4 linked regions of the Astyanax mexicanus genome follow. The protein of the gene in region 4 purifies or fractionates together with the protein of the main gene of each other region. This does not show direct contact. Links are inferred from orthologs where the notes say so. Each region holds a gene or a part of one and is shown on either strand. Other genes may lie near its edges. The genes, in order: mediator of RNA polymerase II transcription subunit 26, med1, med9 and cdk8.

Region 1 (7,206 bases), on a different chromosome or scaffold from region 4:
TTTAAAAGTAATGTGTAAATGCATTATTATTAACATTTATTATTTAATTATGCCAATGGTATAAAATGGCCTTAAAAAGGACAATAATATTGTTTATCCCAATTATTTCTAGGACAATATTGCTATGAATAAATAAAAAAAAAAGGACATGAACTCACCCTGGTTCGGGCCTTTTCCCGTATGTGGCATAGTTCAGCTTGAACTTCCTGGGCTAAAATGTAAAGGAAACAATAAAAAATATATAATTTTCAGCTGCAGAAACAACATGTCCCGTAAAATAAAAGATACTTCTTTAATAAATATGGCGAATAACTTTAAAATGAGGAAGCTTTTGTACAATTACATACCTCCATCACTCAGTACTGGCTTTATCCCACTCGTCAGCTACTTCCTAACAGAGTTTATTCACCAGCTTCAAACAAAGTCAATTACAAACAGCCTTCACCACCTTTATTCAGGAAGACATTCAGCTCTGAGTCTCCGAATCACTACTTATACAGAAATACTGTGGAGTCTTAATCATAGCAGGTGGGGGCTGTGCTGGATAAACTTCTAAACTCTAAATAAATGAATATTAAATCTATGAATATAAATAAATATGAAATAATTAATCTCAGCACTCACAGGATTTGACCCTGGAACCAGCTTCCCATTCAGTCTCTGAACACATCGATCCACGCTGGCTTCATCTGCCAACTCCACGAAGCAGTACCCCGCTGAGCCTCTGGAGAGAGGGAGAGGAAGAGTGGGAGAAAGGGAGAGAGTGAGAGATCAACAGCACTGTGAGATTACAACCAAAACAACTTAGAACAATCTATTATTCACATATTGCACACAGGACATTTTGTTAAACATACAAATACATTGATACAGATTAATATGTTGAACTTCTTCTCTGAAGCAACTGCATTATTGCTGTGTTGCAAAATACCGTCAGAGAACACTTCTACCAATAGCTAAAGGTCAAAATTCTTACCCTGTGACTCTGTGCGTTATGATTTTCACACCATAGGCCGTCTCCCCCATTGTGCTGAATGCCTGCTTGATGAAGTTTTCATCCATGTATGGGTCCAGCTGTAAAATAAAAGCATAAAACTAGTACAGAGCTAGTGTTGACTAAAACAATTAAAACAATAAGAATTCTAATTTAAAGAAAAGTGCTTAAAACATTCCCTTTATAGCCTTAGGCTATTTAACTGTCATTATCCCTCTGTTCCATATAGGGCTGCATGACATACGAAAAACTGACAGTACAGTATATATTGCCATAATAAAAATACAGGAATTTCACCAGAACTGATCCAAAATGTAAAGATAATAATAATGCAACCTGTGTATAAGTGATTGGAGTGAAATTAAAACTATTGGGTTGATACTGTTAATAAGGTTGATACTGCCAACCATAACAACTCTCATAAGCCATGTTTTCTAAAAAAAAAAAAAAAGAGTTTATTTGAGAAGGTGATTATTTTAAGAAGGTATTTTTATGTAGTTAATGATTTTTTTTACTTACACAGGTATTTGCACAGACATGTGCATCTCTATATTTAAGGTACATAGACTAACAAGGTTAGTTACAATTGTAAATTGACTTCACTAAACAGCTCTGGAAAAAATAAGGGACCACTTAAAAAGAAGAAGTGAAAACCTTAGTGGAATATAATCAAGAGGAAGATAGATGATCACAAGCCATCAAACCAAGCTGAGCTGCTTGAATTTTTGCACCAGGAGTAGCATAAAGTTATCCAAAAGCAGTGTGTAAGACTGGTGGAGGAGAAAATGCCACGATGGATGAAACTGTGATTAAAAATCAGGTTTATTCCACCAAATATTGAATTCTGAACTCTTAAAACTTTATGAATAAAAACTTGTTTTCTTTGCATTATTTGCGATTTGAAAGCTTTGCCTTTTCTTGTTATTTCAGCCATTTCTTTTTTCTGCAAATAAATGCTCCAAATGACTATATCTGTATTTGTAACTTGGAAGAAAGTGTCCGTGGTTTATAGAATAAAATAACAATATTTATTTAACTTAAACATATACCAATAAATAGCAAAATCAGACAAACTGATTAAGAAACTGAAATGGTCTCTCTTTTTTCTCAGAGCTGTAGATTTACAAATTTGTAGCTTTAACTGAAGTAAGCCAGACAGACAAATAGCATATTAATCTATTAGTTAGCTAGTTAACTACTTGTTAAGCCTACAACTCAGGGGTGTCCACATTTCTGTGTAAGCTAGCTAACTATAGTTATTTGTAAAGTTTAACTTTTGTGACTTCTGCACTAAAAACTAGCTTACTAAGCTCGTAGCTTCAGTAAATCTTATAGAAACGTCCCATTTCACTTTAAATATCTGATCATGAGAGAACCAGCAGCTGTTGGTTTAAGGTGGAACGGAAATAAGAGGCTAACTTTACCTAACGCTAGCTAACGACATAAAGCTATGAGCTTTATGAGAGCTAGTCTCACATTCCTGTCAGAGTTGACTCAGTTTAATATAAAATAAACAGATATATCCAGGGTTAAGTAAAGATAACGTGTTAAAGAGGTAAATATAGTTGTTTATTAGCTAGTTACGCTAGGCTAAGCTAGCTCCTTGCTTAACTCAGTCAGTAAGCTAATGCTACGTAACGTTAGCACGATGCTAACTCGTGTCTACAGCTTCATAACCCACAGCAGTTAACCGCTGTATAATTAAGAGTTTTAGAGTTAAAAGTTCGGTTTAACACTCACGTCCCCCATCCACAGGCTGGTCATTCGGTTAAACATGCTGCTGCCGGTCCGCACACTGACCCTAAGCCTGAGTTTAAACTGAAATAAACTCGGTGTGTGTTAAACTAGCTGTGTTACTCAGAGCAGCCTGTCCGGCCTCTCCTCCCCCTGTGTGTATGTTCAGTGCGGGATCATATACGGGGAGAGTAGCGCCCCCTACCTACCACAGCCACAGCACTGCGCCCTTTACAGTTAAACGGGTTTAACAGGACTCCGATTCGCTTTCGGTTTTCACCCCTGATGCAGTTTATTTAGGCAGGTGTGAATGCAGTGAATACAGGTGGGAACAAGTCACAGCCAAAATACAAACATATAATTACACATTTGATATTTATACAGTATACAGCTCTGAAAACAAGGCACCACTTTAAAATGATCCATATAATTTTGCTAGTAAAATTACCCTTGTGGTTTAGTTATATAAACCACTGATAACATTTGCAAATACAAATACAGTTACAAATACAAATATTGTCATTTAGATCATTTATTTGACGAAAATGTCAAAAATTGTCAAAATAATGTAAAAGGTACAGTGCTTTCAAACCCTAAACCCAAAGAAAACACGTTGATATTCATTTAGAAACAACAATCCTACGTTCAGAGATCAATATTTGGTGGAATAACCCTGATTTTGAATCACTGCTTTCATACATCTTGGTATGCTCTCCACAAGTCTTTCACACTGCTTTTGGGTGACCTTATTCCACTCCTGGCAAAAAAATGTTCAAGCAGTTCAGCTTTGTTTCCAATGCGCAATTCCACACAGCTAGATCAATTAAGGTGTGGATGAAGGACCACCCGATCAAGACAGTCTCATGGCCAGCCCGATATTTAGCCATGAACCCTAATAAAAAAATATATGGAATGTAATCAAGAGGAAGATAGATGGTCACAGGAAATCAAACAAACTGAACTGCTTGAATTTCCGCAGCAGGAGTGGCATAAGGTCCCCCAAAAGCAGTGTGAAAGACAGGTGGAGAGCATGCCGAGACACATGAAAGCTGTGATTAAAAATCTGGGTTATTCTACCAATTATTGATTCTGATCTCTTCCCAAGATACAACTTTAGTATTGTTGTTGTTGTTTTTAAATGAATATGAACTTGTCTTCTTTGCATTATTTGAGGATTGAAAGCCCTGTATCTTTTTCCTTAATTTGACTATTTCTCATTTTCTGCAAATAAATGCTCTGTTACAATATTTATATTTGGAATTTGGGAGAAATTTCGTCCGTAGTTTATAGAATAAAACCCCAATGTTCGTTTTAATCAAGCATATACCTATGGATAGTTTAATCAGAGAAACTGATTCAGAAACTGAATTTATTTACTTATTTATTTTGATTTATTTATTTATGACACAGAGCTCCACTGCCACGCTAATGACGTAATGACGTTTTTGAGAGTTTTAGCTTCCCACAATGCAGCGGGGCCGTGCTTTAGCAGTGTGGTATCGCGGAGGGAGGGACAGACAGACAGTGAGCTATGAAGCGGAGAGACTCCACTGTCCAGCCCTCGCTGTCCGCCTGACACCGTTCATACATCCACGAGCCGAGGATCACCTTACCAATATGCGGTTCCCGTCCGCTCCGAGCGCCCGCCGCGGTCTGTGAGTCCCCGCTGAGCCCGCAGCCCCGAACCCGGAGGGTTTTTCCCCCGTCGGCGCGTCGACTCGCTCCGAGCAGGCAATGACAACCGCCTCGGCGACCCCGCAGCAGATGAGAGACCGGCTGCTGCAGGCCATCGATAGCCACAGCAATGTGAGTAGCTGCCGTTAGCCGGCCGGCCGGCGGCCAGCCAGCCCCGGGGGAGAGTGCTGAACTCTGCGGGTACTCGTTTAAAGCACCTCACCATCACACTCCTGAGATCCTCCAGACTGCGAATACACACCGCGTATCGCTTTGCGTAGATTAAAACGATAATGGACATGGATAAAGTTAGCTAACTAGCTAGGTTAGGTAGCTTCTCTTCACATCTTCTCCGTTCCACCTTAAATAACGACTGTTACTAGTGCGGCAGTCACACTCAGGCGCTTCAGGCTACGCGTTGAAAGTGCAGCACCATTTAAGGTGGACTGGAAAAGATCAAATGAGAAGCTGCTAACGTTAACTTGCCTAGCGTTAGCTAGCTAGGTTGGTGTTTAAAAGATGGCAATTGATCCAGCTGGCTAGCTGTTAGCCAAAGTTGGCGAGCGAAACGCAAAACTTTGGCATCACCGTTTAACACCTTTATTAACTCAATCCGCGCCTTCCCGCGATATAATAGCGGCCACATCGTTTACTTTCCCCTCCATAACAAAAGCTTCGTTTGCCTTCTGACACAAGTTACACAATGATCACCGTTAGCCGCCAGCTAGCTAAGCTAACCCTGCTAACGCTAACTAGCCATGCTAAGCTAACTACATCATTTTCAGACTTTGCAGAAAAGTTGTACTTCTCAGTTTCCCCTCACAACTACACAAACACGAATTTTAACATATACAACTGTTTAAAACGTTCAGTGAAAGTATGTCCACACCAAATAAATGTTAACAACTTTGCTAGCTAATCTAACTAAGCTATGTAACGTTGGATAGACGGTCGCCTAGCTTTAGCCACATGGCTAACTGTTAGTTAGCTAGCGCTAGCTAACTTGTCTTGGGCTGTATGTCAACTTTTTGGAAAACCGCGATGTTTTTTTTAAATAACAAGTTAGATCTCGCTGTCAGACGATGTTTAAGTTAGTTAAATTGACACTCTGTTGATGCTAAAGTGAGTACAGAAGCTTACAGGACAATAACTACGATTTTAAATCGTCTAAAGTTCTACCTGAACGAGATTAAGTGCTGTTAAGCTAGCTGTCAGTTCCCAGGTACCATTAGCAACAAATAAGGATATTTCATTACAACACCTAAACAAAGTTGGCTAAAGATATTTAAACTAGCTAACATCCAGGTAACATCAAACAGAGGACTATGACACTCAGCTAGCTTACGAAATCTAGAGTAGTTTAACATCAGGTATTGCTGTAAGACCGTAGCTAACTTTGGCTTGTGTACTGTAGCTAACATCTAGGCAACAATTGAAAAAAAAAAATTACATAACACCACTGACATCAGTTTTGATGAGAATTGTGTTAACATTAAACCAACACCAGCTAAAGTAGTGTAACATCTAGGCAACAACAACTAACTGACATCAGCTAAAATAGTGTAAGATCTAGGGCTGGATATCATTAAAAAAAATCAGTACGGATGCCCAAACAATACTTTTTTTGTAGATTGTAACCATACAAAAAGCGATAAATATTCTCACAGAGCATGTATTTAACAGACAGAGACATGAGAAAATTCATTCTCATACGGTCACCATGAGAGACTGCCATACTTTTGGATCTTGTTGGAATAATCAAACAATGAGCATGTTGTGTCACACGCCAGTTTAGAAGTCTCGAAAAACGGGCACCAGATTACATTTTGGTACTCTGTATTACAGAGATATTTTGGTCAGTACCTTATTGGTACAGAATTTTGATTCCCAGCCCTAGTAACATCTCACCAATTTCAGCTAGAGTACTGTAACATCTAGGTAACAATGTCTAAAATCTAGGTGAAAATCTCACTGACATAAGTTAGAATAGTGTAACAGCTAGGCAACAACCAGTAGTAAAAATGATCATCTAAGTGGAATCAGATAGATTAGTGTAACATCTAGCTGACATTAGTTAGAGTAGTGTATGTAACAGCTGGGCAACAAAGAATAAGTTTAGGTAACATCTCACGTACATCAGCTTGAGTACTGTAACATCTAGGCAACACTGGCTATAAATATGCAACATCTAACTGGAATCAGATAGATTAGTGTAACATCTAGGCAACATCAGCTAATTAGTAAAACATCTAGCTGACATTAGTTAAAGTGTTGTATGGAACAGCTGGGCAACAAAGAATAAGTTTAAGTATAAGTAACATCTCACTTACATCAGCCAAAGTAGTGTAACATCTAGGCAATAACTAATGGCTAAAATGATGTAAAATGTTGTTAATGTAATCTAGAGTAGAATAACATCTCACACATCGGCTAGAGTAGTATAATATTAAGACATAACAGCTAAAATGTAACATCTAGCTGAAAATGGATAGAGTAGTGTAACATTCAACAATTACTTATATAGTGTAACCTCTAGATAACCTCAGGTAGAGTAGTGTAACTTCTAGGTGACACATAGAGTATTGAATTGTTAAACCAACATCTGCAGTGCTAAGCTAGAGCAGTGTAACGTCTACTATGGAAAGTAGAACACGTCATAACTTCGTCCACACTGACAAGTTTGGTAGAACTGCGCAACATGGACACAAACCTTGAGCGACACAGCTATTTGGACAGTGCAGCATTGACTAGTTAATAGGACTATAGGCAATAGTAAATTGACAAACCAGAAGACAAATGTGCAA
Region 2 (7,435 bases), on a different chromosome or scaffold from region 4:
GCCCCGGCCAGCGAGAAGACCAGCCTGAGCTGCAGTGACGGAGCCAAGATGGCGGATTAAGACTTGCAGGTGGTGCCAGGCAGTGCGCTAAACTCAGAACCAAAATGGCGGATCAATGAAGATCTTAATGGCACGGAATGAAAGAGATGGGTAACAGAGGCTGCCGGGTTTGTGTGCCCACTGTATAACGGGCGGGTGGGGCAGGAGAGACTTACTTAGCACCGGCGAACGTGCCCCGCTAACCCACCCCACGGCCCAATAGGGGGGTCCCTGCTGCCGTGGCGGGGTGAAGTACCCTCTGATTGATGGCACAGCTTCAGCTCGAAGCCTCTGTGCCCATGTGCGGTGCCCCCCTCCTTCCTTTATTCTACTGATATGCTGGCACTCATGCCAAGCCCATCCCCTGCCAGCTCCCAGTAGACACATCAATTATAGCGGGCATCGCTTCTATCTCTCTCCTCCCTCTCTTTCTTACTCAAACACAGCTTTACAGTCACACACCAACACACCTTTTCTCTTCACGTTATTTTATTTATTTACTTTGCGTAGGCCGTGTTCAGATTCTCTCATTGCTTTTTTAAGCTCTAGCATCGCCAGGCGAATGTTGGTGGCTTTTTAAAGGCATATGCTTATTTGTTATCTGATGCTCATTTTATGGGATGGTTGTTCTAAGAAAAAAATATGCTTCTAGGTACTCAGCGTCTTTCACTGGAGCACGTCCTTACAGCTTCAACATGTCTGCCAATGCTGCCCTCCTCTGTTTGCATTGTGCTACTACAGTATAGTGAATTTGGACATTCCCCCTGGTACTGAAAACTAGCAGTCAAAGACCCTGCTAGAGATCGACCGATATTGTTTTTTTTATTGGCCAATGCAGATATTTAGACAGCAGATGTATATAATTGATTTAACATTTTATATTTATATTTATAATTTATTTATGTATATATTTATTTATGTATATATATTATGTATATATTTTCACAACTGATTTTCAAGCAACATAATCTCTTTTACAGTTTATTTAAAACAAACACAAAATATGGGAAAATACTGACAAATAAAATGTGCAATATAAATAACAGTCTAGCTTAACTTTTCTCCAAAGGGTTTCCACAGCATCCTCAGTAAAGTACATTTTAATGATATCCAGAGGAGATAATAAATAATGCAACAAAATGTGATCAACTGTTCTTTTATTATGTTTAACTTATTACTAAATAAAGTACAGAATATGCCATTAACTCAGTCACATATTTAGTGTAGTATTTACAGCATTTACCTGACCTATGTATTGTAATTACCACCATTAACCAAACCAACTAAATACAGGACAGCTTCCATGAATTAGCTAGATCCAAATAATGATAATACACTGTTTATTTTATGATACAACATGATATTAATTACTCCACATGATGCTGGTGTTTCCATGCATGTTCTTCCTTCACACTATTCACACATTTCAGCCACACATTTAGTGATATTTCCATTATGTACACACAATTGATCACGACACCCACAGTAACAATACTTTTTTTTTGTCTGTGTCAATTTGACTATTTTTTTTATAATTATAGGACAACAATGCAATTCAAGTGCCTTTATTTGGTGGGGAAAATATTTTAAATGAAATCATGTGTTCCACAATTATTGGCACCCCTGGTGTTAGTACTTTTTACAGACTCTTTTTGCAAGATAGGAGAATACAGAAGAGGGGTCTCTGACTATTCAATTTGATTTTTAATTTAATTTCTATAGCGCTTTTTACAACAAAAGTTGTCTCGAAGCAGCTTTACAGAGAAAAACAGGTCCTTTTTTGAGCAGCACCACAGACATGACAATTATTATTGCGACAACAGTGGCATGGAAAAACTCCCTTACATGAAGAGGAAGACATACTACACAATAAAATTATATGTTTGCACGGTTTTACTAAACACAACATGTTACATTCACAGTGAGGGGGGAAAAGTATGTAAATCCTGGATGTGATGAGATTGGATGTGCTGGTTAAAGCTGTCCTGCCCTATAAAAAATGGCAATAATCAGCCGATCACTGAACCCTACTATCAGTTTCATATTGTGATTAAAGTATTCTTATCTAAAATAAGCATCATGTTGTAAAACATTTTACAACGGAATAGAATAGAATGTGTTTATTGTCCAAATGTGAAAATGAATCTTTGGTCACTCATGGCACAAAGATATCTACAACATATCACATATTTTAAAATAAAAAAGTTGCAAAACAAATTAAACAACTGATGTATTCAGAATTTCTATTGCATTTGGTACAAATAATCGCCTGTGAATATTACTAGTAGCTGTTGGCATCATCATTTGCCTGATGGCATCTGTTAGAATTGTAAGTTGAAAGGGTGAAGTGTATCCTTTTCTAAATTGTATTGCCTTTCTTTAAGTACTGTTGTTGACTTTCTCCTACCAGTTTTTTACTAATCTCATCAGTCCCAAACCAAACTGTTATAACATAAAGCACTTTCAATAAGCAAGCGATACAGTAGTTCTACAGTATCCAGACTGACCTCAAACTCATTTGATATGAACTTACAAATACTGTTAAAGGGTTATGGGTACAGAACCTGGCTTTATCGTTTCAAATATTATATGTTTTTTCTTACATATTCAATATTGCAAAAGATGGTTTTCTTATGCATTCATTGTTTCAAAGATTAAATGACAGACATCCCAAGTTGCAAAAGTTGATTTCAGGGAGGTTAAAAAAAACTGATTGGCTGTCTCACAGACTCTTTGCAGAGAACAGGCCAATCAGAAGCCTCTCTGTTTTCTCTCTCTCCCACACGCGATTAGAGAAAAAAAGTCTGTCGCCTGTGTGCGTGTTTGTGTGCAGTGCGCGTTTGGGGCACTCGTTCTGAATTCCGGGAGATTATATGTGACTCGCGGGTATCAGGGAGCCACTACCGAAATGCGGGAGACTCCCGCAGCTTCAGGGAGACTTGGTTTGTCTGAAATGAATTCTCCTGTCTAAAAGGTTTCTCTTTATATTCACATTCACTGCAAATCAATGTGAATAAATGTTAGATGGCTAACGATTGGCCTAGAATGATTGATAATGTGTCATAGTGCCATATATGGATGCCCTTCTGCCCTTCCAGTAGAAAAGGGAACCTTTATGCAGAGCTTTCTAAAACACCCCTACTAGACTAGCTGTGCCAAAGTTTCCCTTTCTACTACAGAAATAGAGATACGGTGCTTTCTTAATGAGATAAACTGTATTTGACGGTACGAAACAAATTACATTGTTAAAAAACTCATTTCCAGTGTTAAATGGGCACTGGATAAGATTAATATTTTTGTTCATGGGCTCCCCCTACAGTTGCAGAGTGTAACTCATGTCCAGGTAAGGGTTGAGCCTCTCCATTCTTTTGCTTCTGTTTAAGAGTGAAATGACACAGAGCCAGTACATCTCCAACACAAGAGAGCTATCTGAACTGTAGCGATAATTTGTCTGTGTCATTTTGCATGACAGGTTTTCTTTATTGGTAAAAAAGATGACTCAACCAAGACATTCAGTGTCTACAGCTATGATGAAACAGAATATGATTACATGACTACACAGAAGCACTAAATAAAACATTACACATAGTAAAACTTAAACAAAGTATCAGTAAAAATTCTAATCTGGATCAAAATATGTGCAATATCTATGCCCTAATTACCCAAATCTGGACCACAACATCATGAAATAATGTAAAAACTTTAGGAGGCAAGCTAGACTAGATTATATAACACAGCGTAACAAAATAAATCGTTCCTCCAACAAGAAGCTGGCCAGATCTGTATCTGGTAACCAAACAATTTATTATCTCGTAGCTTGCGCCAATGAGTAAATTCTCATTAATCAATCAATCGGTCTCTCGCTCAGTTACACTCTCTTCTTCCTCTATTCTGCCTTTTTGCAGCCACAGCGAAAATTCTTTAACTGAAGGACTGAACTGGCCTCTTCTGTTTTGGTCTTCTGTGTTCAGTTTCAGACCTCCTCTAGAATATACTAGCAATATGACCTGCTCTAATATGGAAGTGTGTTTACTGTATTAAATATATAAAAATATACAAATATGATGAACTTTTATTCCTTTCAGCATGTTTATCTCCTCCATATAATGCGCATCATTGGGGGAAAAAACCTAATTCACAATGTTAAGTAAATGTTATTTTTTAATAGAGTTAAACACTTCAGACAGAAAGCTTTGATTTAACATTTGCATTAAAGAAGGTGGGTAATTCGGGTTTTACACAGAAGAATATCTCTGCTTTTTCCCTGTAAACCCCTAAAGCCTGAATTTAGAGCTTAGTGGGAGGTTTGGAACACAGCCCAGCACTTTTACTGTGAGATTTGGGACAGACCCAAACTCAGGCGCCCTCGCTGCGTCACACCGGCCGTGAGGGAGCGAAGATGGCGGCGGTGCCGTTAGCCGGCTGCAGCCCCGCCGCGGAGCCTGCAAACACCGCCGCGGTCCCAGGGCCCGCGGAGCGGCTCAGGGTGGAGGAGGGAACCGGTACGTGTGTGCGGATCACTTTCACCCGCCGGATTAACCAGCGTATCTCTATCTACCGCGCTTTACCAGCCGAACTGAGCTGGGTCTTTTACCCACATAGCCTAGCTTAGCTAGCTAGCTAACAAACAGAGCAAGCTATACCAGCATTAGTGTTAGCAGTAGCATTAGCATTATCTGTTGCTGTTATGAATTGAAGAGCAGGGCAGCCTATTTAATAAATTCTGTATAATAATGTTACTTATTATAAGGATTCCAGATGTGGGAGTTATATATAGGGTTATGGCAAGGTGTCTGTATAAAAGGACATATAGTATTTTAAAAGAGAAACTGTTAAAAGTGATTCGCTGATTAGTTAGCTATAGGTTGCTAAATACCCAACTAACAGAACAGCGCAGGTTTGAAGTTTAGATACCCGGTCAACAGGGTCCAATAGGTGGAACATGGTTCAGGTGGGTTACTGGTGAATATGGGCCATGAATAGCTTCGTAAGTGTGTTTTTACTGGGACCCAGCTTCACAAATCTGTCCCATCATTACAGCCACCTTAATCAATATTTTGACACCTTATATATAAACAGAAATACAATTAAGTCTGAGTGGAATCTAATTTCTGAGTTCTGCTGTGGGATGCACCTTCACTTGAAAGGGACTTGGAAACATGATGGAAAGACAACTCGCCAAACTGACATCAATTTTCACACCAATCAGTGTGAAGGATAGCGAGACCCATCCTACATATGTAATGACAAGAAGTAGCAGTATCAGTATCCTGTTTATTGTCAGTTTTTTTTACTTTTTACTGCTTAATATGAAAGAAAAATGAACACACTTCTTATTTTCCATCTGTCCAGTATCATTAATTTTACTTCATCAGTGGATACGTGGATTGCATTATTATGATTTTAACATTTAATTCAATATTTGACTTCTGGAGAAATCTGTTAAAATTAGTTGAATATCACAATAAACATTGCAGAACAACAAAAATAGTGTAATTTTTTCCACTATGCAACTATAATTTCAGGACATATTGAGAGATACAGAAGCATCATCTGAGTGTGAAAGAAGCATGTGGATTTCATGTGGTCTGTAGAATAATATTACAGGAATTTGAGATGGCCCTATCAGTGGTTTAGGGGCATATCTTAGAAATATCTTAGTATCGTAGAAATATATAAATAAGTTATAATTCTAATAATAACAATAATCTAACATAACATTAGCTCAGCTCAAAGTCTGTGAATCACTATACAGAACTGCACTGTGGAGCTCAAGTCATCCGATACTGATACACAGCCGATCAACCTTTTCACCTATAACAGGGATTGATGTGAGTGTGACTTAAGGCAAATTCATTAAGGCCTTTAAAATTGTTTGTTTTTTGTTGGGACATGCTCTCTGTGGGTGGGTAGATAGCATTCTCTCACCACATGATGTTTGCCCCTGCCCATGATGTCTCCCCATGGTGATGTGGGTCAGCAGCACATGCGTGCCACCACATTGGTCTTCACTGTTGAGGGGATTACCAGTGATATTGGGAGTCCTAATGAGTGGTTTGGGTAATTAGATCTCCAAATTTGGCAGAAAAAGTGTTGCAATTGACAATGATACTAAAAAAAAAATTTGCAAATCTCATAGACCCATATTTTATGAAAGGCAAATTTTTGAATTGTGAATATTTTCCCGTATTTGTCTTATTTTTTTGCATGATGCATCTTTAATCTGCATTTGTTGATTGAACCGCTCACTCTGGATACAATGTCTGGGGCCAAAACAATGATTTCCAGAAAAGAATGTTGCCTGTGTTCTTATGTAGTGGGTTATCAAATACTGACTGTCAGCCTTGTACCGATAGCTGAGGAGAGATAGGAACACGTTTTGTACATTTTCAACATTGTATAGCTTGTATAGTCTAAATGATATGATTTTAGTTGCTGTGATTTAATTGTTATAATTTTACTTGCAAAAATTTGACAACAGGTCAAGGGCGTTTTGTTTACTGTTAATTTTTGTTTTGTTGTGTTTTGTCTGTCCCCTCAGAGGCAGAGAAGCAGACTCGGGTGTCCGCCCTGTTGGAGAGATTACACGCCAAGCACAATGCCGCTCGGCCCTGGCAGGAGACCAGCAAGATCGTTAGACAGGCCATGGTGAGAGCAGAGCAAAGGGGCTAAAGGGACTGTAGTGGTGGGAGTAACTGAGCATTTAATACAGTCTCTGTTTGTTTTTTAACACTGTTTCTGTTTGTGCTCAGGAAAAGCGTGGGGTGATGAATTCAGCCGGACACCAGCTTCTGCTCAGCTGTTTGGAGACACTACAGAAGGCACTAAAAGGTAAAGCTTTACTGGTTATCACAACTCAAACAAATGTAATTTTTAAATACAGATCTGTGCTTTTTTAGTTTCTAATCCTCTATATTAATCATTTAAAATTATTTATTTAAACATTAGGAGAGTGTTTGCTGTAAAAACATTAGATCAGATGCAGGTAAACATAAATGCAGTTAAAAGTAACCAGAATTTCTTATTCTGAAGAAATTAGTGGAGATATTGTGAGGAAGTCTAAACAGCAAAGTTGGGTCCCTGATTCCTCCTGGTTCTCCTGGTCAACCCCAGCCAGCGTCCCAGTGGATGTGTTCAGTTCCACCAGCAGCTGATTTACCATCAGCACACTCTGATTTTACTAAACCAGCTGCTGATATGATGAGAATTCTAAATATTGCATGGAGAGCTGTGGAGATGTTTTAATGAACACTGTGATATAAAACCACTGTTTGTATGAAGGTTATTTGTTTTTAAGTTTTTCACTGAGCAAGTAAACCAGGGTTCATACGGTCATGAAAAACCTGGAAAAGTCTTGGAATTTAAAAATACCAATTTCCAGGCTTGGATAAGTTTT
Region 3 (7,329 bases), on a different chromosome or scaffold from region 4:
CATCAGAGCTGCTGCGCCCACAGATACACCCTCTGACTCACAGAGAGAGAGATCTGTCATCTCTCGCCCACTGCACACACACACACACACACAAAGCGCTGATCAGAGGGAGAACCAGGAGCAGCTGGACGATGGCTGGCTCTGGTTAGATGAGCGGTTGGTTGAGTTCTCAGAGAGTTCTCCTTTTATCAGATGGAGTTCTGTTTACCTGCTGTAGCACCCAACCAGTGAGGCCAACTGTGACCAAACACTACACTACACATACACACAAACACACACACACACAAACACACACACACACAGACGCAAACACCACGTCAGGATCAAAACTGCAGCCTCTTCAACAGCAATGTCCATCCAGCTGCTTACAGAGAATCACATCAAATGACTCATTTCACTGATAAGAGTCAACTCTTTTAGCCTCTGCAAAAATCAATCAAGCAATCTAACTTTATCTTTCATCAGAAAAACAATGAGGGTGGTCATAATTTCCAGTGTAGCGAAGTGTGTAAATGCACACACACAGTGCTGTGAAAATAAAAAAATAAAGATAGAAACCTAACTAGCTTACCAAGGCTATGTTCAGACTGCTCAGAAAGCCCAATGCAGATTTCTGGCATAAAAAATACAAACAAGATAAAGAAATGCTCCAGGGGTCACAGATGTGAGGCGCAAAAGACAAAGTACAACAACAATTTCTCAAAAAGAACTAAGCACTGGCAGTAGTGAAAGCTGTGCCATCCATATGCATCAATAAAAAAAATAATAATATACTGGATTTGTCCCAGAGCAAGGAAACTCCTAGGGTTGAAAGAGTGAAAAGTTTATTTTTCTTCTGGGGTGGTCCTGTTGACTTTTGCTTAATTGAGTAGTTCTTGCCATAATATGAATTAAAACATTACTCAAATAGGGCTATTCTTATCTGTAACAATGTGTACTTTGACAGTAGTTACATTGTTATTACATGGATTGTTAATGTGTAACTACACAGTTATTAGAGACACATTAGTAAGACCAAATTTTTCACAAAATCATCTGCTGCTCTCCAAAAACAAATGCACACAAGAACTAGTGATGCAATGCAGAAGATACATTAATTCTTTCTATATGCATTCTCATTGGCTGTAGGTTGTCGTTGCTTGCCAACTGGTCCAGATATCAAACCTGCTAGATGATTGCTGTGCTTCTGTGACTCTTTTGCAATCATTTAGCCACATCTTTTTGGAAAAACTACAAAAAAATATTCTGCACTAAAATTGTGTAGTAGTGAGAACCATGAATTAGCTGTGTGGGTACAACTTTGTTAGTTTTGAACTACAGAAGACTTATCTTAACTCAAAGAACCTTAACTGGGGCGTGGGCCCAAAATTGTATGTTTTCTGGGTTTTTTGGTGTTTTACAGGTAAGCCTTGTCCAGATGTGGCCCAGTTTACAATGGCCTACTCCTAGGTGCTGCATCCATCACACCGTACTAAAAAACAGTTACAGAAAACAGGGTGAATCTGAAAATGTAAACAGTTTTTTAATAGACCAATGTTTTTGCCATCTTTTATTGCTAAGGAGAGATCAGACATTGACCCGAAACGAATAATCCAGAATATCTTTAAAGCTCCACAGCACACCCGTGATCTCCAGCTATGTAAGAGACTCGGCCGTGTTAAATCCCATCTCTGACTGAACTATTGCCTGACTCATGCGTAGGTTGGTTCCAGTCAGGAGGAAGCCGTGGATGAAACGATACACAGATGCTGCAGATTCACTGTTTCATGCTAAATCAAAAAGCCTCTGAAGATCATCTCCCTGTCCAACCCTAGCCTTGTGTGTCGAGACAAACAATGTGGTCCCTATAGTGCTCTCCAGCTTTCCTCATCTGACCAGGATGCTGCTCAGCTCTGCCAGAGACCATGTGATGTTTTAGCTGGTTGGAAAAGGTTCTTACATAAGTCCCACGTAAGAGCGGCCCAGAGTAACTAGTGTTGAATCAGGACCCAGACTTTCCAGGGTTCGAGTCAGAGTAAAGACCACAAATTTGCAGTAGTTGTGTCTGAGTGGAGTGCTGTTAAATTGAGGTTTCTTAGGCTGGTAACTCTGAGGCTGGTAAGGTTGATGAACTTATCCTGTGCAACAGAGGTCATCTGTAGGTGAGCCACCAACCGTGCACCATGCAGCTTGATTTAGGGTGAATCAGTGTGCCTTTGCTATTGTAACGACTGGAAAAGTACACCTTGTACAGATTGAAACTAACTCGTTCTTATTCTCTTAATTAATCATGGGTGTGTTTTGGCCATAATGTGAAATAAACCTATCCGTGTGCCATTCTCTTTTAAGAGCCAGGTTTGCTCTGACTTTGGCAGCTTGCTAGTTTTCTCTATTATGGGGGTCCTCTATGATATGACCATCCAGAACGACCATTTATGTGTTTTTTTCAGGGGTCCTCTAAGAAAATTATAGGCTGAATTGCCTACAGTTTTTCACTGAACTCCGTGGTCCTCTGGTAATTTAGTCCCATCCGGACGCACATCTCTGAGTTCCATCACCTCGCATTTAATAAAATAGCTATTTGTCCACTGCTACGCACCGTAATTACACTTTGGGCGCAGGTTTTCACAAAGATCCTCGTAAACACAACAGCTAGTGGAAATGGAGGGGCTACTGAACATGATGTCATGTGACCGAGAAAGCTAAAAAACTCACTGGCCCTCCTGTTTTTTAAATGAGGTCTGGTTGCAAGAGTTTTATCACTGAGTGGAAGTGTGAAATATTTTTTTTACAGAGAAACTTATCCCATCCGGATAGGGCTTAATGCTAATGAGGCAAAGTAATTAGAGCTTATTTTAACTAATTTTATATGTGATTTTTGACACATTAACCATGTTTACTTCACTGTGTAGAAATGGTTTGTAACATATAAAGGTCAATATCGCATATTAAATAAAAATGTTGGTACTATGGTATTAGTTACTTACTTTGTGTGCATTAAAGGTAGAAAAAAAAGCATTTTTATACTTATCCCTCTTTGGAACATAACTCAGAGTTGAAAGGGTCAAGGTGTGTCCAAATGTTTTACTGATACTTTAATTAGAACATAATAAATGAAGACGATTTCTCTATTCAACCACTTCTGTTATGTCTTAATGACATTAAAGCCTGGATGGCTTTAAACTTTTTGAATTTTAATGAAAAGAAAACAGAAGTGATGGTGTTTGGTCCCAGTGGTTCTTGTGAAGCCCCCCCTGTTGATTTGGGCCCCTTGGCGCTGTATGTGAAACCTACAGTTTCTAACCTGGGTTTTAAGATGGACAGTGATTTTAAATTGGATCGCCAGATTGGTGCAGTAGTCAAGTCCAGCTTCTTCCACCTTAGGCAGCTGGCAAAAGTGAAGTCAGTTCTCACACATGAGCACTTTGAAACAGTAATCCATGCCTTCATTACATCCCGGCTGGATTACTGTAATGCACTATATTTTGGGGTCAATCAGTCCTCCCTTAAACGCCTTCAGTTAGTGCAAAATGCCGCTGCCCGACTTTTAACAGGTTCACGCAAGAGAGAGCACATTACTCCCATTCTGGCCTCCCTCCACTGGCTGCCTGTGCATTTTAGAGTTCATTTTAAGATTCTTTTATTTGTTTTTAAATCTTTAAATGGACTCGCTCCGCCTTACCTCACTGAGCTGCTCTGCCCCCACGCCCCCGCTCGGTACCTTAGGTCAGCTGATCAGCTGCTCCTGGAGGTGCCGAGGTCAAAACGCAAGCTTAGAGGGGATAGAGCTTTTTCAATTGCGGCTCCTAAACTGTGGAATGGCCTACCACTATATGTCAGACAAGCCCCGTCACTGTCCACGTTTAAAACCAGGCTAAAGACTCATTTTTATTCCTTGGCTTTTAACCCAACTTAAGACTTTGTTCTTGTTTTATTTATTAATTAATTATTTTTTTAATTTTTTATTTATTTTTATTTATTTTATTTCTGTTTTTATTTTATTTTGTTTTTACTTTTACTTTACTTAGTTCTTAGATTTATCTGAAACTTTTTATTGATACCTACATTTTAATTTGTCATTGTTTCTAGTATTTTGTTTCTTATCTTATAATGTGCTATGTACAGCACTTTGTTGCAGCTGTTGTTGTTTTTAAAGTGCTCTATAAATAAAGTTGAGTTGAGTTGAGTTGAGTTGAATACATGTGTTTAATACGTGAAAAATGCAAATGCAAACAAAGACAAAAAGAAACGTCACACGCCGAGGCACGCGAGCCTTGCAGTGATTAATAGCTAATATTATTAATAATAATAATCTGAATAATAGTCAGATTGGTCTGTGTTGCTGATGTCAGAGGACTGTGATGTCAGAGGACAGTCAGCTGAAGATGGCGAGCGCTGTGGCTGTGGTGGAGGAGACGGAGGATTACTCCTTTTTACCTCTAATTCACGATATTATCAAATGGTAAGAGTTTACAGCCCTAAACTAGACTGTCGTCAACTGAACAAGCCCAAAATACAAAGTCTGAATACAGAAAATACCGGTTTACGGCCGGTAAACTATCGGGACCAGCTACAAAAGCTAACGCTAGGTTAGCTAGGCTAACGCTAGTTAGCAGAGAGCTTCTGAGTTCCCGCTTTACTGCTCGAGAAACAGTATTATTTTAATTAAAGATGTGTAAAATATAGAGCTGTATATACACTGTTATTATATGCAGGATAAATAAGGCAGCATAAAAGTGTAATTAAACAGCTAACCTACATGTGACGCTGTAAAAGAGTGCTGTGGCTATTGTCTGTTCCACCTTAAAAGGTTAGCTAGCATCTGAGGCGCCAGAACGTAGCTAAGCTAAGCTAACCCTAGCTAACTGCTGCAACCTTTAAGGTGGAACGGACAATTCCAAACTCGGGTCACTCTAACACAGCCTCTATAAACTTATGTCCAAATTATACAGTTAAACAAACATGTAACTCTTATTGCACCAATGAATGTCTGCTGACAACAAAACCCTAAGGACAATAAGCATTAATTAACATATATTTTGTTCAGCTAAACTTGTAGGTTAGCTAGCTAGCTAGGTATTGTTATTTGTTTACTTCCATGCTGGCTAACTAACATTAAGTAAACTTTTTTAGCTAGTGTAGCTTTATTTTATTTTCTATAACGTCTGTTTCTTACACCCAGATGTTCAGTGTAACTAATTTAATCTGTTACAAACTACTTTTGCAACAGGATGGAAAAATAGTAACATAAATTCATTTTTTCCCTGAAATTTCCTGATTAATAGAACATTGGGAAAACGGATGAAAACCGTATTTTCTTCATAATGCCAAATAGAAAAAAATAATACACACTCTAATTTTGCCTCTCATAGTCAGAAAATACTGATAAACATTACAGTGACCCACAATTTGTCCAAATATCACTTTATACAGAAACTGACCAAAAGCTTTGGAGGATAAACAAATAAATTAATCATAATCAGATTTCAATATCGACACTTTCCTAAAATAATCAAAATAAAATACATTTTCTCACGTTTTTCAGATGATAAACTATCCTCTTAAAAAGTTATCATACAACCCATCAGTAAAACAAACCAGAATCAGTGCTATATCAAAATTTTGAAAAGACAAAAAACAATTAAAGACAGAAAACATTTTAACAGCCACAAATTGTAGCACATTTCTACCTAGCTTTGTTTTTAATGCTTTTAGTTATATTTTGCTGACAAAAATGCAGACTAAAACCCCAATAAAACCTAATAAGATTAACCAGCCATGCAAAATGCATAGTCTATTTGTAGCCTTTATTATTATAAAAGGAAACTTAATTAAACTTGTATTAGGCATAATAAAGCTTAAGTCATTCTGAAATAGGGCATTATTCCTAAGGGGGTAGAATCAAATAATCTGATCAGCTGAGGCTGTAGAAGAATTTACCACAGGTGGCAATACAGCACCATAAAGAGATGCTTTAGACAGACACAACAATTTTGGTAAAAAAAAAAAAAGGCTATTATTAAGGAAGGTGGTGAAAAATTGTTTTGAAATGGGGGTCAAGATGCATCAGTAGTGACAGATCCATAAAATATACAATTAAAATGCTTTCCTATACTACTGATGCATAAACATGTTTAATGTTAATTAAATAAGAAAATGCATCTTATTACAATAAAATATCGTCATGCCCACCACTAAAATAAATAAGGTTAAAGTTTTAAATGTAATTGTGGTGGTGAATCTGAACAGATACTTTTTTGGTACATTTTGCCAGGGGTATCTCAGATATCAGGCAGTGTATTTGAAAAACATTTGCTGTAATAACATTCTGTAAACAAATTTGATTTGGTAAGTTTCATTACAACAGAGCATTCAACCCCAAACCCACTCTGAAGTATTTATGATAAAATTCAGCAATGCAAATTTGACAGCCAATCAGATGTTTGGATGTAATATGTTACTGCTTTTCGTTCACACATTTCCATGCTGCTATAGCAAAAGTTGCACTCTTGATTTCATATTGCTGTATGTATGGTTTTATATTATTTTATTTTTATGCTGTTTTATTTTTTTCTTATATTTATATTATTTTAACTATTTTAACAATTGCTCTTTTTGGTGTAACTGGACCATGAGAATACAGTTGTCTTTAGTCTCATGCACCACATTTAATGTGAACCACAATAAAGTCTCCTTGAATCCTTAAATTTTAGAAATGCTTATAGAGTCATAGCTGCTAATCAGTAGAATAATATAAGTTACTAATCTTGTCCTGTTAAAGTACAGATTTTTGATACTCATCTTTACTTATTGCTGTTGTATTACCTGCACTGTGTCTTTTTTAAAATGGATATATCTGGCTCTGCATCCACAGCATGGACAAAGAGAACCAGGATGTTCACCAGGAGTTAAACAGACTGAGAGCACGGATTCAGGAGGCACGGGAGCAGATTTCAGCTATGCCTGGCATTGATGCGAGTCCATCAGCACAGCAGCAGCGTCTGCAAACGCTTAGGGATCAGGTTCGTACCAAGAACCAGCTCTTACACAAGTACAAGGGCCTGTGTATGTTTGACATCCCCAAGCCTTCCTGAGGAAGAGGATCAGAGGATTCTACAGAGTAAATAAGGACAGATGGATTATTTATTGACAGACAAACTCATCTGAAAAAGAACTGTTCCACACAAGGGACTGTGCTTTTCCCCATCATTCGTGTGACTTTACTGATTTTGACTGTGCTTTAGTTGCTGTTAGATAATTTTTTATTTTTTATTTTTTACTGCTGAAAATGTCAAAGCTGTGTCTAATAAACCAAACATATTTTCTAAGAACATATCCTTTCACGTTTCA
Region 4 (6,961 bases):
ACAATCTACATTTTTGCCTGTGCATCAATTAAAATTATGTCTCAGGCAGATGAGGCCCTATAAAAAGGTTCTCAGAGGCTACTTTAAAATAGTGTACTTCTTGGTGTGAGATCGTTGATTGCTAAATATGCCTCTACTATACACAAAAATGTCTTTTCGTGTATAGTAGAGGCATATTTAGCAAGTTCACAGTCTTTAAAAGTTACTGAACTAAGAGAAACAGTCATTTGTCAGCCAGCCACTATCGCCTTTGTTTGCAGTTGTGTCGTGAATAATAAGCCTGGATGGCTGTTTAGCGACAAATACAGGTTACATTTGACATCATTTCTAAATAAAGCAAGGTTTTAACACTGCTGATATAATGAGTTACATTAAATGAGTGCTCAAGCAAGACATTTTAAATACTGTGCCAATGTGTGTGTGTGTGTGAATGAGGTTACCAGGCGTGCCCAGCAGGTTGCTGTCTCTCATCAGCCGATACTCCTCCTCGCTCAGCTCGTTGATGAAGTGATAGTATGCCTCCTCCCGCCGAAGACGCTCAGCCTGACGGCGACGCTCATCTCGCCCGCCGGGAGGGTCCATCACCATGAAAACCGCTGTTTTTCAACAGTCCCACAAACAGAAGGGTTCAACATTAGAGCTGCAAGCCTATGTGCACTTACCTGCTTATTGCTGCTGATACAATGACCTCAAGACCATAACAAAAATGAACATCATTAAAGGTGCGATTACAAATGCCAGTATGTGAACTGCAAAATGACCATTATAAAAAAAAAATTTATGATGATAAGATCATAAAGAGCTCTATATTAATCTCTAAATAATGAAGAGAAGGTAATCATAGAATGATGACCCAAAGCACACTCGCTCAGAGGCTTTTCAACCCTAATAGCAAAACAAACTGTTTATGTATGCTTAAAGTACTTTCATAAGATCAATTAGACTGATTAAAATAAAAAAATACAAATGAAAGACAAAAGCTGACTGTCCTGCAGGACCACTGAGCAGAGCAGGTCTAAAAAAAATAGGCTAGAAGCATAGACATGAGACAGCAAAAATCACATTAAACGCACGCACTGCTGTCAGAAAACATGAAGTGACACCTTGATTAATTAACAAGACAACAGAGCTCCTTAATATCTCACACAGCAACCACTTGAAGGATGGCACCACTAGGTTAAATGAGTTAAATAAATAAAATAAATGCATACCAACATATACCAATCTCTCTGGATTTGCTCTAAACAACACATCTTTAAAGCTTGTTTGTAACAGGCTTTAAATATGTGGCCACCCTAACGACAGTAACACAATAACGCGAAAATTAACAATATATACGTAAATAAACCGCTGCCCTTTCTACACCAGCACCTCTGCTGTCTCTGACTATGGAGCTATATAACCTAACACAGTAGGCCAAGGCGAAGAATGTAAAGCAAGCAGAGCGACACGCTGACGTAGCCAGCGCAGCAGCCAATCAACAAGTCGATAGCGATGACTGGCACTTCGAATGCCCAATCAGAGCTGCCCGAAGGCGGTACGTGACTAAGAAAAGTCGGGCACCGTGTGAGCGTTTCTAACCGAGGCACAATGAAGAAGCCCCGACTTCTCTTTAAAACGTTATTAAAATCACACTTCACATGCAGCAATAACACGTGGCCACGTTATAGTACGACATGCGCAGACGAGGCCGAACAGCGAGCTGTCATTCTGTCTGCGCAGCCGGTTCTGCTGGTGTCGACAGATAGCCGCCGTGCTAATAACCAACAGCTAACCAAAAAGCGGGTTTGACAACCGATTAGACAGCAGACAGGTCCCGCCACGAACACACAGCTAAACACACCAACAACAACCCGGCCGCTTTCAGCGAAAGAGAGCCGCGGAGACACACATAAACCCGCCAGTCTAGTACCTGAAACAGCAGCGATAATATGGACGAGTCCTCTCTTTTTCCTCTTCGCTCTGATTACAATGTAGAGCTAAGATGGGACCAACGGAGCCACACACACTCGCGTCCGGCCGGCTACCTGACGCGCTGCACACACGTTCCTGTTCACAAGCACCCCCTCTTCTTCACCCCACACCCACTCACCCCAAACATTTTTTTTTTCATTTAATTATTTCAATTATTTATTTAAGAAAGACATTACTAGTTTTAATATTTAGTGGGCTCTTCAACTATAAAGACATTGGTCTTTTATTGTACATATATTGTATTATATAGTCTTCCTTACACTTATTTATAAGATTACTGGATCACAATGTTTCCCTTACATTTATTACTGTATCATACTGCTTCTATATTACTAGAATTTATGTACAATTACAGTAAAAGTAGTTACATTACAACACTGTACATCTGCAATATTCAACTGGCAATTTGAGTTTTTGTTGTACATATATTGGATCATACCATTTTCCTTACATTTTTTACTGAGATTACTAGATCACAGTTATTTCTGGAATTACTGTAAATTTGCAATATCCAACTGGGAAAAAATATTTTGTTGCACTGTGTATATATGCATATATGTATTATTATTATGATTTATTTTTAGTTCTTTAAAATCACAGTAAAATATTTTCCATTCGTATAGTGGAAATATACTAGAAATATAACTAGAAATGCCAGTAATTTTCTCTACATTTTTAAAGTATTTTAAAGCGTAGACAGGCACATCGCATATGTATTTGCTGCTAAAGCCTGAAATTGGTGCAAACATACTTTATAGCAAATATTTTTTATAATATTCCAATAAAATGTATATTGTCTAAAATTACTCATCTTTCTTTGTTGTTTTTTCTTTCACCTTTTCTATAATGTTGTCCTTCTAAATCTTAGCTAACACATAGCTGTGTGAGATTGGGACCAGGGTGTCTCTTGGTGTCAGTGCCAAACAAAGGCCATTGTTTTTTCTGAGTGAAGATCGTTGAAGAGGACGTGGAGTGTAGCTTTATACAGAGACTACACTCGAATGCTTAAGTAGCGAACGCAAGTTTAAGACGCAAAATAGTCGTTTTTTTAATTTCAAATACTCGTTTGGTAAAGAGTTAACATCCACGTGGTGCCTCCACAAAGCCCCAGTCTTTTCATTAGTAATGAAAAGTTCGATTCAGTTTGCCGAGTCGGTTCATTTAAACTCATCCGTTCGAAAGAGTCGAACGCACGATTCGGGTTACCTCGTTCTCGTAGCCTCTCTTGCAGAGTCATTGCATTTGAATGCAGAAGTCCCTAAGTGACATATACTGAACATCCTAAGAGCATCATTACAGAACAGTCTGCGAATCTCTGTTCGTTTATTTCACTTGATTTTTTCTTTATACTTTAATTAATAATTTGATGTTCTATATAACTATATCTGAAACAAATTCTAGAATAAAAATGTTAAAATATTATGAAGTTTATGAAATTGTTGTTGTGTTACATCAGGAGTTTAGCATTAAAATATTTACAGTCATGTACCCACAATCAGAAACAAACATGAATTAGCTGCTCACTGAAATAATCAGATTTTAGTTTGAATTTGGTATCAGTATTCAAAAATGAGTCTGTGCTCTTATGGGATACGTTGATATAAATATATAATTAGGGTTGCCCAAAGTGTGACTCCCAGCCACAACATGACTTATTAGTATTTTATATAATAACCTATTACATTTGTAATTTTATATATAGTGTAATTTAATTATTTTATAATTAAACACATTTTAACTGGAATCATTTGCTAATATGTTTAGACCAGCAGCATCAAACCCACCACAAACACACGCTCATCCTCCCTCTTCCTTTAAGACAATAGGTATGGTCATCTCTGGCGTGGACCCTGCAAAATAGCTTCCATTCCAACGGGGGTAAAATGAATCGGTTCAACAGACGAGTCAAAAAGAGCCGTTCAACGGAACCGGTTCACACGAGTCGGATTTCGGGGGTTTTCAGGCGAGCGACGGTTTTGCGACACTGCCGTAAGCGGAGCCTGCTCTCCCGAGTGAGATACCGGTTGCGAGAGAAAATCTAAAGGAACTATTTGGGGCAGAGCCACATATGGTGGTGCTTCACCTCAGCACACGTTAAAAAAACACGCTACCCCTCCTCACTCACACTCAGCCCGGGGTACATGTGGCGGCTGAGCTGAAGCGACGCGAGGGAAGGCAACTGATTGTGTGAGCGGCGCTGGAAGTAAGTTGCCTCCCTGGCGGCGCTTTAAAACAATCAGAAAAACACAAACACACACTCACAAACACACCCCGACCTGCCCACAGCCGCCCGGGACGATGGACTATGACTTCAAAGTTAAGCTGACCGGAGAGAGAGAGCGAGTGGAGGACCTGTTCGAGTACGAGGGATGCAAAGTGGGGCGAGGGACGTACGGTCATGTGTACAAAGCCAAGAGGAAAGACGGGTGAGTTTCACCACTCGGTGACAAAACGAGCTGAGTGAGGCCTGTGAGCCCTGCTGTCTGACTGTCTGAAAATATCAGAGAATGCCCCTGACATCTCTGCTGTGCTGCTACACCGACCGGTTCCGTGTCTTTTAGATTTACCAGCAGAAACAATAAACACAGAGTGCAGTAAACCTGCGAGTGAAGGCAGGCTGGTGCCACTGGTGTAGCTGGGTAACTAACTTAGCTGTGTTGTTGTCATTTATGGAGAGCGGCCCCTTTATTTTCTGTTTGTCTGAAAAAAAACGCCACACAATCAAAATTTGGTGTTGTGTGTTACCTAGGCATACTCTGCATTCATGGCATATATATATATATATATATATATATATATATATATATATATATATATATATATATATATATATATATCTTCTGTAATAAAAAAAAAAGCTTTTCTGTGTGTTCAGACTGGCAGTGAAAGCAGTCTGGTGTACGTGGTGTAGCTAGGTAACTTAGCTGTGTTGTCATTTATGAAGAGCAGCCCTTTTATTTTCTCTATGGTTGAAAAAAACTATAGCTATAAAACGTCAAAACAATCTAAATTTGGTGTTGTGTGTTACCTAGGCATAGTCTGCCTTCATGACATAACTATATATCTCTTCTGTAATAAAAACAAGCTTCTCTATGTGTTAAGACTAGCAGTGAAAGCAGTCTGGGTTCAGTGGAGTAGCATTAACTTGGCTGTGTTGTTGTTGTAATTTATGAAGAGTAACCCCTTTATTTTTTCTTCATCTGTCACTGGGGGTTCTGTAGTGTATGTTCAATCTTTTGCTAGATTTTCTGTTATGTGGTCACATTTCTGTATAGCTGCTTTGTGAAAATATCAGTTGTAAAAAGCACTATATAAATAAATGTGATTTAATTTGATAGCTATAAAACACCCTTTTATCGCAGTTTGTTGTCTGCCAACATGGCACATAGATATCTCAGCAAAATGAGCCTCTTGTGTGTTCAGACTAGCAGTGAAAGTAGTCTGGTGACAGTGGTGTAACTTGACTGTGTTGTTGTCATTTATGGAGAACAGCTTCTTCTTTTCTTTTTGAATAAAAAACGCTATAAAACGCCTCTTTGGAATCCAAATTTGGTGTTGCATCGTCTGCCATAATGGTACATAGATATCTCGTCTCAACTGTGTTGACAAGCAGTAAAATCAGTCGGATGTCAGTAGTGTCACATCGCTAGCTATTTATCCCTCCTGTAAAACGAGCTTTTCTGTATGTGCAGACTGGTGTGAGTGGTGTAAGTTAACCGATGGTGTTGATACTCATCCAGTGCACTTCCATTTACATCTATTAGGGCTACATGTTTTAATGACATTCAATCTTTTTTCAGTATATGTATATATATTAAAATAATAAAAACATACAGTAATTTCCACCACATTTCTTCTGAACTGGGACTGTGTTCTCTCTGGAGTGATTGTACATCTCACTAATGCTCCTTTTGCTAAATGCAATCAGATTCTCACAGAAATGTTCCAATATCAATGCTTTTTACTTTCCATAATTGGATTTTTATTGGAGGTGGCAGGTGTTTTTGCTAAGTATGTCTCTATAAGAGATTGCATAGTGCAAAGTGATGAAGACTAAGTGAATTAGATCAGTGGAGAGTAGCATAAAGAATATGCAGTGTCACATAAGGAAAGTTATATCACACATTTCCTTTCAAAAGGAAAATTTGCACTGTTCTTATTTTCCATTTTCAGAAGAAGGTGTCTGTGAGTTAATGTGTCAGAACTGAGTTGCTGCACTTTCCTCTGAGTGTGCTGGCTACTCGGTAATGCTACATCAGCAGCAGTTTGAAAAAGAGGCGGCTGACTTCACGTGTCAGAGGAGGCATGAGCTATTTTTACCCTCCTTGCGTTGTGGCATTACCTGTGATGGGGAATATAAAGCTGCCTTGCAGCTGAATGGGTGGGCCTAGCTAAATTTGGAGAAAATGTAGATTAAATAAGAATCTTAAAAATTAAAAGTTACTGATTTATCTCAAAAGGGAGAAAAGTACCTTTGGTTATTCGTTGGAAGGGATTTGTAATGCTTTGTGGATGTTTAGAAGAACCCATGGGTTATATGGTTGGGACTATGTTTAATATCTTAAAGAATTTATAATATTTAGCACCACTAGTCATTTTCTAACTATGATTGCTATAGCTCCACCAAGCTTATTAAAGTCTAAGACCGATGAAGAAGTTATCCAAGAGCAGAAATCTCTGGATGCACCTTTATTTTTTTTTACCCCAACTCTGTAGATTTTTGCCATGTTCTTCAGTCTAGGCTGCAGTAGTGCTGGGCAGTATACCAGTTTATATGGTATTTCCGTAGGGGAAATTAAAACCAGTATGCCTTTTTTACATACCGCCATACCGCTAGAGGCGCTGCGGAGGGCCATAAAGAACAGCTCCGCCGAAGAAGCACCCTAGCAGAGCTCACTAATGCTAGCCACTTGGCAACCAGCATGACAAGCCAACACACTGGAATTTCAGCTCTGTGGAGCCAAACGCTCTGTCCTGCCTGGAGAGT

Evidence for each region.
Region 1: the proteins of cdk8 (region 4) and mediator of RNA polymerase II transcription subunit 26 purify together in Homo sapiens (affinity purification with mass spectrometry; 5 studies listed by BioGRID and IntAct, with this or other methods). This does not show direct contact. The link is inferred for Astyanax mexicanus from reciprocal best matches to the Homo sapiens genes CDK8 and MED26.
Region 2: the proteins of cdk8 (region 4) and med1 purify together in Homo sapiens (affinity purification with mass spectrometry; 14 studies listed by BioGRID and IntAct, counting the BioPlex papers as one, with this or other methods). This does not show direct contact. The link is inferred for Astyanax mexicanus from reciprocal best matches to the Homo sapiens genes CDK8 and MED1.
Region 3: the proteins of cdk8 (region 4) and med9 purify together in Homo sapiens (affinity purification with mass spectrometry; 10 studies listed by BioGRID and IntAct, counting the BioPlex papers as one, with this or other methods). This does not show direct contact. The link is inferred for Astyanax mexicanus from reciprocal best matches to the Homo sapiens genes CDK8 and MED9.

What each region holds. Positions count from the first base shown.
Region 1 is NC_064411.1:30,858,340-30,865,545, forward strand, and holds the start of mediator of RNA polymerase II transcription subunit 26, read left to right. Parts: upstream 1-4,200; 5' UTR 4,201-4,462; coding exon 4,463-4,534; intron 4,535-7,206. Other genes in the region: trnau1apb (tRNA selenocysteine 1-associated protein 1-like), read right to left, coding at 159-211, 625-724, 977-1,074, 2,735-2,770. UniProt on the Homo sapiens protein: Component of the Mediator complex, a coactivator involved in the regulated transcription of nearly all RNA polymerase II-dependent genes.
Region 2 is NC_064422.1:3,176,172-3,183,606, forward strand, and holds the start of med1 (mediator of RNA polymerase II transcription subunit 1), read left to right. Parts: upstream 1-4,417; 5' UTR 4,418-4,438; coding exon 4,439-4,541; intron 4,542-6,580; coding exon 6,581-6,687; intron 6,688-6,791; coding exon 6,792-6,870; intron 6,871-7,435. UniProt on the Homo sapiens protein: Component of the Mediator complex, a coactivator involved in the regulated transcription of nearly all RNA polymerase II-dependent genes.
Region 3 is NC_064422.1:7,758,540-7,765,868, reverse strand, and holds med9 (mediator of RNA polymerase II transcription subunit 9), read left to right. Parts: upstream 1-4,318; 5' UTR 4,319-4,340; coding exon 4,341-4,441; intron 4,442-6,853; coding exon 6,854-7,073; 3' UTR 7,074-7,312; downstream 7,313-7,329.
Region 4 is NC_064408.1:96,297,471-96,304,431, forward strand, and holds the start of cdk8 (cyclin-dependent kinase 8), read left to right. Parts: upstream 1-3,943; 5' UTR 3,944-4,272; coding exon 4,273-4,400; intron 4,401-6,961. Other genes in the region: E3 ubiquitin-protein ligase RNF6, read right to left, coding at 441-588.